Linked DNA regions of Schizosaccharomyces pombe. The protein of the gene in region 1 interacts with the protein of each later gene in a biochemical or structural test. Each region holds a gene or a part of one and is shown in the gene's direction. Other genes may lie near its edges.

What was found.
Region 2: the proteins of cut12 (region 1) and kms2 form a complex in vitro, tested with the Schizosaccharomyces pombe proteins (one study listed by BioGRID).

The regions. Positions count from the first base shown.
Region 1 is NC_003423.3:539,395-543,966, forward strand, and holds cut12 (protein Cut12), read left to right. Parts: upstream 1-1,761; 5' UTR 1,762-1,888; coding exon 1,889-1,895; exon of another isoform or gene 1,896-1,937; coding exon 1,938-3,577; 3' UTR 3,578-3,774; downstream 3,775-4,572. Other genes in the region: tail anchored plasma membrane protein Uvi15, read left to right, coding at 24-59, 129-310, 521-566; GTP-binding protein Gtp1, read left to right, coding at 4,027-4,044, 4,090-4,158, 4,274-4,444, 4,498-4,572. UniProt on the Schizosaccharomyces pombe protein: Required for bipolar spindle formation. May act as a regulator of the p34cdc2/cyclin B kinase. Required for full activation of the plo1 kinase.
Region 2 is NC_003423.3:646,282-651,073, reverse strand, and holds kms2 (protein Kms2), read left to right. Parts: upstream 1-2,054; 5' UTR 2,055-2,084; coding exon 2,085-2,147; exon of another isoform or gene 2,148-2,190; coding exon 2,191-2,937; exon of another isoform or gene 2,938-3,003; coding exon 3,004-3,567; 3' UTR 3,568-4,138; downstream 4,139-4,792. Other genes in the region: DNA replication factor C complex subunit Elg1, read right to left, coding at 1-1,094; rba50 (RNA polymerase II-associated protein), read left to right, coding at 4,496-4,792.

The DNA.
Region 1 (4,572 bases):
TACCCAATTATTTAAGGTGTCAAATGTCTGCTCAACAGTTTTATGGTGATAAGGGCTATGTATGGAATTTGTTATGCAGCTCAGTTGCAACAATTTATTCAGGATTTTACTAACAGCTTCAATTTTAGGCCCCTGCTCCTCCTCAACAAGCTTATGGAGGCCCAAACTATTATCCTCCTCAACAAAATTATCCTCAACAAGGTTATGCTCCTCCACAAGGCTATCCTCAAGGTGGATATCCTGCTCAGCAACCTATGTATGTTCAGCAACCTCAGGCCAGTGATCCTGGTGGCGATCTTTGCTGTGGTCTGTAAGTATAAAGAATGGGCGCGTAGAAGACGTCGAAATTGCATTGGAACGGTGAAGCACACTCTTAATTTTGAAAGGTGAATGGGGTATTCTTTATTGAATTAGGTCATTACGTCAGTCGATTAAAGTTGCTTTGGCGTTCCTTTCGAATAGTTCCCTGTTGAACTGTGTTTTGCTTTACCTTTTTCTCTTTACTAACGACTGTTTTTAGATTGACCGGTCTTGCTTGCTGTTGCTGTTTGGATGCAATGTTTTAAAAAACTATTTGGCTTGTTCTTTCTACTTTTCTCGAAAGAGAGCATGCACCACTGATTAAACTAAAAGCCGTGTTTATTTTCTGACTTGAGTGCAATTAATGATTGTTGGTTATTTTTTCATTAATTCCCTCGCCAGCAAACAACTTTATGGCGAGGATTTATTTATTTACATTGGTAAAGCGTTGGTCGAATAATTATAGATCTTGATTTTTCTGTACAGAGTGTCGTCTCACTTTTTGAAAATTGCTATTACCCAACCGTTTAATTTCAGCTTCTTTTCTTCGAAATTAAAACCTTTAGTTTTATGATGGACTGTCTTTTCTATTTTTTAAGCGCAAAATCTTTTACAGCATCCATTGGTCTAAATCGTTCTTTATGAATAATTTTTAGTTTGGATTAGTTGAAATGACTCGTCCTGAAAAAATTCGCATGTTTATTTATCTTGCTTACCCTGAAGGGGCAATATGTGTGTTTCGTTTTTAGCTAACCTTTCTATGGTTTGTCTACTTTTTTGCTGCTCGTTATATGTTGTGTATTCTGTTTAGTATGCTGTTGTTTTCTTTTAGTGTAGATGAACTCTTTAGATTTCCCAATATGTTTAAGTTTGATAGAGTCGGTTTTTGATCGATACGTATAAGAATTCCTTATTTGTTTTTTAAAAAGATTTTAAAAGTAAATTGAGGCATATATCTTACGTAAAAAGTTTAAAGTTTCTAAGATTTGCTTTGACTATTTCAAACAGGTAGATAGATGCGTGCTTTTTCTATGGTGGAAATACGACAAACTTGTTCACGAAAATGAAGCTCAACCATTGCGACCCCCCTTGATTCAAATGCTATGAATTTGGATGCGCAAGCTCGTTAAGACAAAAATTGCCATATGACTTTTATTGCAATGAGCGCTATATCTACAAATACTCAATATCCTTTATCAATTACCCATCTATAAGTATTATTTATAATCGTAGTAGTAAATGTATTTCATTGCAGCTATACTCTACTTCCTATTCAATTACCTCCTCCATATAGCGAAAAGACCGTTCACGATATCACAAAGTTTATTAACATACAATAACGAGTTCACATATTAAAAGAAATATGACGATACGCAGTGTGTAAAATAGTGTACTGAGAGGACGTCCAATGTAACATGCGATCGGGTTCTTTATTAGTTTGTTGTGTTTGTGCCATACGTTGAAAACCACCGAATTGGGAAATATTGTTAAAGTTGGGTTGTTTGGACATAATTTTGTTAAATTCGTTTAAATTATTTATATTTTTAATTATATTTTTACATGCAGAACAATTCAGAGATCCGATAGAATGTCAGGTAAGGAATTCCTATGTAAACAAAGCTAATCTCAAAATTTAGAAACTTTGAACACTCCGCCAACATATGCATGGGTTTTGAAAGCATTTTCTAGTAAATTAGCAGGAACTGTGACGAAGCCTGTTACAAAAATGTCCTCTTACATTGAGGATGCAGAATCTGATGCAGAACTTCCGCAAGACGCAAAAGAAGACCTGCGCCCAACTGAGACATTAACTCCGTTAAAAAGTAAAGCAGCACAAAATGGGATTTTGAAAACTCCAGGTACTTTACAAATAAAGAAGACCGTCAATTTCAAAGATATTTCAAAAGATGCTGCGACGTGGAATCGTCCAACGAAAAATAATTTCTTATTTACGAGATTAGATGATGAGAATCCTTTAATGGGTCATGAAGAATTCAAATCCCCTTTGTTACAGAGTACTCCAAAACCGAATATTAATAATCCGGATAATGAAAACAAAAGTAAGCATGACGAGTTTGATAATCGCTATAATATTAATATCAATGAATCCTATAAAAATGAGACAAAAAGCAATCAGAGATTAGGCGAAGATGTCCCTTCAAAGAAAAAATATCCTCACTCGATGGATGCCGAGATCTCTAAATTCAAATGGGATAGTAACAATAATAATGACTGGTCAAGTTTAATGAAGGATTGCTTTCGAGATGTTGTGAACAATAATCGAAAAATGAAGGAAATTATTAAAGACGTTATGATTGACACATCCCAAGCTTTTCCCTCTGAGAGCTTGGATGAACCTGACTATACGATAAACCTTGATGCGCCTCGTTCCTCTTCAGGAAAATACTGGAAGCAAAAGTTTAGTATGCTAGATTCTGCTCATTCGGATCTTGAGTTAGAATTAACCTCTATCCGTGAGCGTTTGGAATCCTTAATTTTAGAGAAACAAGAGGAAATCAATTTTTGGAAACAACGTTGTCGAGCTTTAGAAACGGAGAAAATCCATAATCATCAAGGACAACAGTCAAAATACAAAGGCAAGGAATTCGTTGGAAATAGATTTAGCCAAATGAGGGAGCTTTATACTGCTAAGCCAAGTCCGATTACTACTAAAGTTGTTTCTAGGCCATCCCAATCTGATGTGCGTGAGCCTCAAGAACAGGTTCCTTCCAAGAATTTACATCGGGGAGCAGATATGTCGCATTTGGCAGCTCAAATGCTGACTCATTCATCAAAAAAGTCCCATACGACAAACCTAATACCTTCTGAAGGAATAATTTCATCAACTCCTATTTCCGCAGCTTCCAAAGTACGTATGAATTTAATGCAGTCTAATCAAACTCCTACACCTGCTCCATTTTCAATAGCAGCAAAGAAGTCCCACTTACCGTCGAAACTTAGTTTCCCACAAGATGGTGGTAGCTTATCTTCTGCTACTACCTTGCAGCAATTGCCAAAAGCAAGAGTGACGCCAAACGTGTTATCTTCTTTAAGCTCAAACCTTGGAAAAACAAATCCAACGTCAGTATACCAATCAAAAGCGAACGTAACTACAAGTGCTGATGTTGAAAAACCACAAGTTAAAGTTGCAACTAGTTCTCGCGTGGATTATGATTTGAAGAGTCCAAATCAACGTACTGCGAATGCAAAGAAAAGATTAGAGGAAAGGAGAAGACGAAGGAAGTTGAAACTTCAAGAACTTCAGTTGAATTCCTGAAGGTATAATTTTACTAGATCGATATTGTATAATTAGAATGCATATCCTTTTTAAGTAAAGGACTGGAGCCTTAGTTTCATTTATTTTTGTTGAGGAAAGGTGTGTGCATCAAGTATTGAAAATTAACTATATTCCTTTCGAGAATTAAATAAAATATAAGTCCATTATTAATATTAACTCAAATTACTAATTTTTAGTATAAATGATGGATTCATTATAAGAGGCTTGTAAAAGGCCGTATTAGTCGTGGATATTGTAATTTAATTTCATCTTTTCATGCAGTATTTTACTAGAAAAACATTCAGCTGTACATTTAGATCGTAAGCTGACTGGAAGAATTCCATCTCCTCAACCTCCATTTGAATCTTGTCTTAGGCCATACGCAGTAAAAACTTGAAAGTAGCAACAATTTCATATTACCACACTACGATAGGTTATTAAATGGGAAAATGGGTGTCTTAGAAAAAGTAAATAAAAATATCTGCCGTTATATACTAATCTAAATTGGCTAGATTCAAGAGATTGAAGCTGAAATGCGCCGGACGCAAAAAAATAAGGCGACGGAGTACCATCTTGGTTTGGTAAGTTTTTTTAATTCATTTCTAACTGGAATGCCTTTTATTTTATAGCAAATATTACAATGTTGTTCCAACTTATAAAGAATCAACTCTAAATTAAACTAACCTAGTCCTTTAGTTGAAAGGAAAACTCGCCAAGCTGAGGGCTCAATTACTTGAACCTACTTCAAAATCGGGGCCAAAGGGGGAGGGCTTCGATGTTTTGAAAAGTGGTGATGCTAGAGTTGCATTTATTGGATTTCCATCTGTTGGTAAATCTACTTTGCTGTCTGCTATTACGAAAACGAAGGTTTGCTATTTCTTTTTAAATACTTTATTTTTTTACTAACAATGGTAATATAGTCGGCGACTGCATCTTATGAATTCACTACTTTAACGGCTATTCCAGGTGTACTCGAATACGATGGAGCAGAAATT
Region 2 (4,792 bases), 110 kb from region 1:
GGTACAGATGAGCTTTCAGGTTTGGTCAACCTACATGACCTTAGCCAATCCGCTATCTTCGAAAGGCATTGAGAGAACGCACAGCAATCTTGTGTTTTAGATGGAGCATATTTTGACACCCACAGTCCTTTTTCTAATATTTGTGGGATCATTGGCATTTCAACATTAGGATCTGATGGCAAAAGTCTTGACAAAACCTTTTGAATAAAAGGAGCCGGTGAAAAGCACAACGATTCCAAAGCAAAAGTATGAAGTTTAGAAGGAGTAACCTGTAATACTTCTGTTTTATTTTTCTCAGCTAATGGGGTTATCATATTCGCGGTGGTGGAGGAAAGAACCTCCTTAAACGAAAGATGAGAGGTCTCTTCTAAAATGGCTTCTTCTAAATGCTTTTTCGGAAACCAGAAAACACTCGGCTCAATAGAGCCGGCATACTCTAACATACTCTGGGAATCGGGTGTCGGCCATAATGGATCAAGTAACCTCTCTGGCTTAGTACCGCCTCTTTCTTCACTTACAAATTTGATTTCAGAATTCTTTTTCACAGACTTTGACATGAAAAACGGGTGCATGGATGTGACAGTATTTCGCAGATTACTAGGTGAATCTGCTAAGTTTGAATAATGTAACTCGGAAACAAGGGGGGAAGAATTAACTGTTTCCTGTGAATTAATATTCTCAACTAAAATATTAGTATCTGATGCTTCTCCCGACGACTTAGCAGGCGGAAAGGCAGTTGAGTTGGTATCATTGCTGAGTTTTGGGTGTAATATATTCTCAATTTTTTGACCCAAGGAAGTCGATACTTTAAGCGTTACTAGTAAAGATTGATCATTTTCAAAGTCTTTGCTTTCCTCCATATCCATATCAAAGAATTTCCTCATGTAGCTACGTTCCTTATGAAGTGATCGGCTTCTTCGAGGTTTACGAGACCCTGACAAAGGAGATTTGCCAAAATATTTATTTTCAGATGTGGCAGGGACTGGTGACATTGTGTGTCTCCTCCCAATAGGCTTTTCTTCTTTTGCTTCATTTTCGGATTTTAAATCAGGATTACTCTGCGAATCTGCAGACAAATAGCCTACAATTTGCATAGGGATCTTCAATCACCGCATAAGTTCAATAAAAGTCCTAGTTTGAATGATTTTTAGAAATAGTTTCACAGGTTTCTCAGCTTTCAACAGTTTGGTTAAGGAGAGGTAGACAAAGACTCCGTGTACTAGTGAACGAGTATTGGGAATTCGATAAGCTTATAGTTTAGATTTATTTATTTTTAAGTATGTTTTAGATTACTGAAATTCCTAAATAAAATATCGTTGCACCATTGAAGCAACACGATCCTCCATATTATCATTGTTATGTGTAAGCTGTCAGTAATTGAATAGAGAAGTAGGAGATATAATCGTCACAGTTAAGCTTTTTCATCTCTTTTAAAAACGACTTACCAACTTTTAATGTGAGTTTGCTTATTCCATGCAAAGAAAACCGAGTTCAATAGCTATTAATCCATAGCCTAACATAATCAGTGAAATAGTCAAAAGAAAAATTTGATACTAATATACTTTTTAGAAAATTTTAAAGAATTTGTATAATTACTATTTCTACTACCGCCAATTAGTCGGAACGCTGACTAACTTTTTGTGCATCGTTGTAAAATAAAGGAGAGCAGAATTTCACTTGTTTATGATTGTAGTAAATTTTCTAAGTTAAGTAGTCTATTTACTTCAATTAAGTAAATCTAGATTCAAGAAACGGATCACATTTGTTTATCTGTTTATTTATTTGTTTGTTTTTTAAAAAAAGGTAAGTGTAAAGCTTTCCTTCCACTTTAACTCAATCAGTAAAAAATAATTTATTTTGAAGATGATTTTGCTAACAATTTTATACATTTCGTACTGCAACATTTTGCTAAAATATCCTGTTTATGTTTTGACTTGCACTTTGTTTACTTTTTTAAGGCAACTTCTATAACGTATTGTTCTGCATTACATTACAAAAATAAGAAAATCGCACAAGTTATCGTTAACAAACCTGCCTTTATACTAATTCTGTTTAACCAAAGCACATGTCAATAAACAATCAAAATGGATGAATACATCCCTTTTGACGATATTGTGCGCCAATACGACCCAGATTATACAGGAAAAGTAATTTCTCATTACTTGAAAAATAGTTTCTAATTTTCGACAGGTTTCCATTCAAGCATTTTTAGAAATTGTCGACGATGTTGACGCATTGCGACTTAATCCAGAGGCCCCTTTGCTTGATAATGAGCAAAGACAATCGGCCCAAGATTTTATAAAAGATAACAGTGAGATTGTAGTGTCTACGAGTGAAATTAAGAATTTGTTTTATGAGTTAACTGGTCTTGACCCTGATACCCTTCCTGTAAACAAATTAGCTTTGCGCGAGAATGGGGTATTACCAAGAAAAAGTGTAGCGAAGCCTCAAAAAATATCAGAAAATCGAATAAAGAGAAAAGATATGTTTTATCAAGACGCAAGTTACATAACACCAAGAAAAGGATCACCTTTGAGTCATTCAACCCCTTTGTCAATGTTTCGAACTAAAAATGAATATGGATCAAATAAAGGATTTTCTCATATAAACAAGGAAAATGCTGATGATTCTTTAATTCAACAGCTTTATGAAAGGATAGAGCTTCAAGCGGCAGAATTACGTTCTAAAGACGAGCAAGTTAAAGAACTAAACGCGCGAAATGCAAAATTATTGGAGGAATTGGATTCTTCGGAAGAAGCTTGCAAGTCTTGTTATACCCAAGCGAAAACCTGGGAGAAAAAATTTCGTGAAGCTCTTCGTGATTCTAAGGAGTATGCAGCTCAATTACAAACCATTCATGAAGAGTATGAGCAACAGCAAGCCCATATTGTGAGAATGGAAGAGCTAATCCATGCTGTAGAAAAGGAAAGGAAAACGGTATGATTTTTAAGAATATGCCTTATTCGAGGTAGAGACAAGCCAGTTTACTAATTTGTTTAATAGGAAACAGATTACATGAAGAAAGAATCTTTGTCGGAACAAAAAGAAAGAGGCGCTTTTATGGAGTCAAACATGATTTTAGAAGAAAAGGTTGCACATCTTCAGTTGGAAAACGAGCAGTTGAGACTATTTTTTAAGGAAAAGGCGCCTCAACCCTTCCAAAATCACCCTCCGTATCAAAATCTAAAAATTACTTTTCCCAGCCCTTTCTTTCACATCCCTTACATCCCTAAAACGGAGACTTTGAACGATTCCCAATTTGCCGCTGGTCTCTCTTTACTGGCATCAGAACTTGAAAGTCAAAAAAATCTGTTAAAGAAGTTCGAAAACTTAAAAAAGAAGTCTTCCAAAGATTTTTTATCTCCCTCCACCATACTCTCTAATGCTTTTTCCAAAGTTTCACTCCCCAATTCTTTAATTTTGCGTGTCTTATTTTTTTCATTGTTGTTCATCATCGGAATTCATATTTTTTATTTTTTGTTTTTTCATGTTGCAACAATTCAACAATGGCCTTTTCTTTTTTGGTTACCATCTACAAAATTCGACAATCGTTGGTCTCCGACATGAATCTTAGATTCAAGTTTAATCCAATTTTTATTTTCAAAGCACGGATTCCAAACTTAATTGCTATAATTGAACATTGATTCAAGATTTATGTATATTGGAATAATTGATGTATTTATGGGGCTCTGCTCAATTCAAGACGATCTGTATCTTCTAACTCTTCGCCTGATAGGCAACGGACAAGAAGTTTACATTGAGCTAATAATTAGTCGCATCTCATCTGCGTTTGGTTTTAGGTGTGTCATATGAAAAAGGGTTAAAGCGACGTTTTTCGTTTTTATGTTTGAATTAAGATATTTTCTCTGAGACGAAATATTTTTAGTGTTTATCATTCTTTTCTTGTCTAATCTTCTACTCGCCACTCATTTTTCTGTTCTCTATTTTTTCTTTTTGGATGAATGTCGTTTCTTCTAATAACTTCTTTCTTTCTTTAATCTTCAAGGATAGCCCAAGTCCTATTAAACTCGGATACTATCTTTCTCATAATTTCTCTTTTATAACTAGAAAACTTTTTCACGAATTAATTATTTATTATGCACTTTTAATATTAAATGAAAAGTATTGAATTAAAAAAGGAAAAAACCATCCATTTTTCATATCATGTAAACATTTAGTTTTTTTTCCATACAATAAATCAATTTTTACAGTTACGTTATCATATATAGTGAGATGTACCGTTATTTTGTGAGCGCAAAATAGCTAAGAAAATGAGAGAAAACGTAACCATCCCTGCAATCTACCAAATGGTATGTAAATAGTGAAAGGGAGAAAAAACTCATAAGGTTGAAGTATTTATTATTCATTTAATCAGAATCTCATAATACTATCTCAGAGGGCTTTATTCGTGAGGTTTGAAGAAATTGACCCTTAAATTCTTATAAAAAGGAAACATCTACATACAAAAAGCAGATATTTTCAAAATTCAATCGCTATGGAGAATCACAGGAGTGTATTCTCAAATGTGATAGGTGATATTGTTGAAAAACCGCCGAAGCAACTTGTTGAAGTGAAGAGGTCAGTTCAGCGGCATGCTAGGGGATTTCCAGCCGTTTCACGAACATTGCCGAAACGAGAATCGAAATCAATGAGTGCTTATAAGGAGAAGATGCTTCGAAAGAATAAGGAATCTCCGGGTTTGGAAGGAAAAGGGAATTTGGATGATCAAGGTATTGATGAGGAAAATCGCGTTCGTTTGGAAAGGATGAATGATCTGGAAATTGAAGGAGCT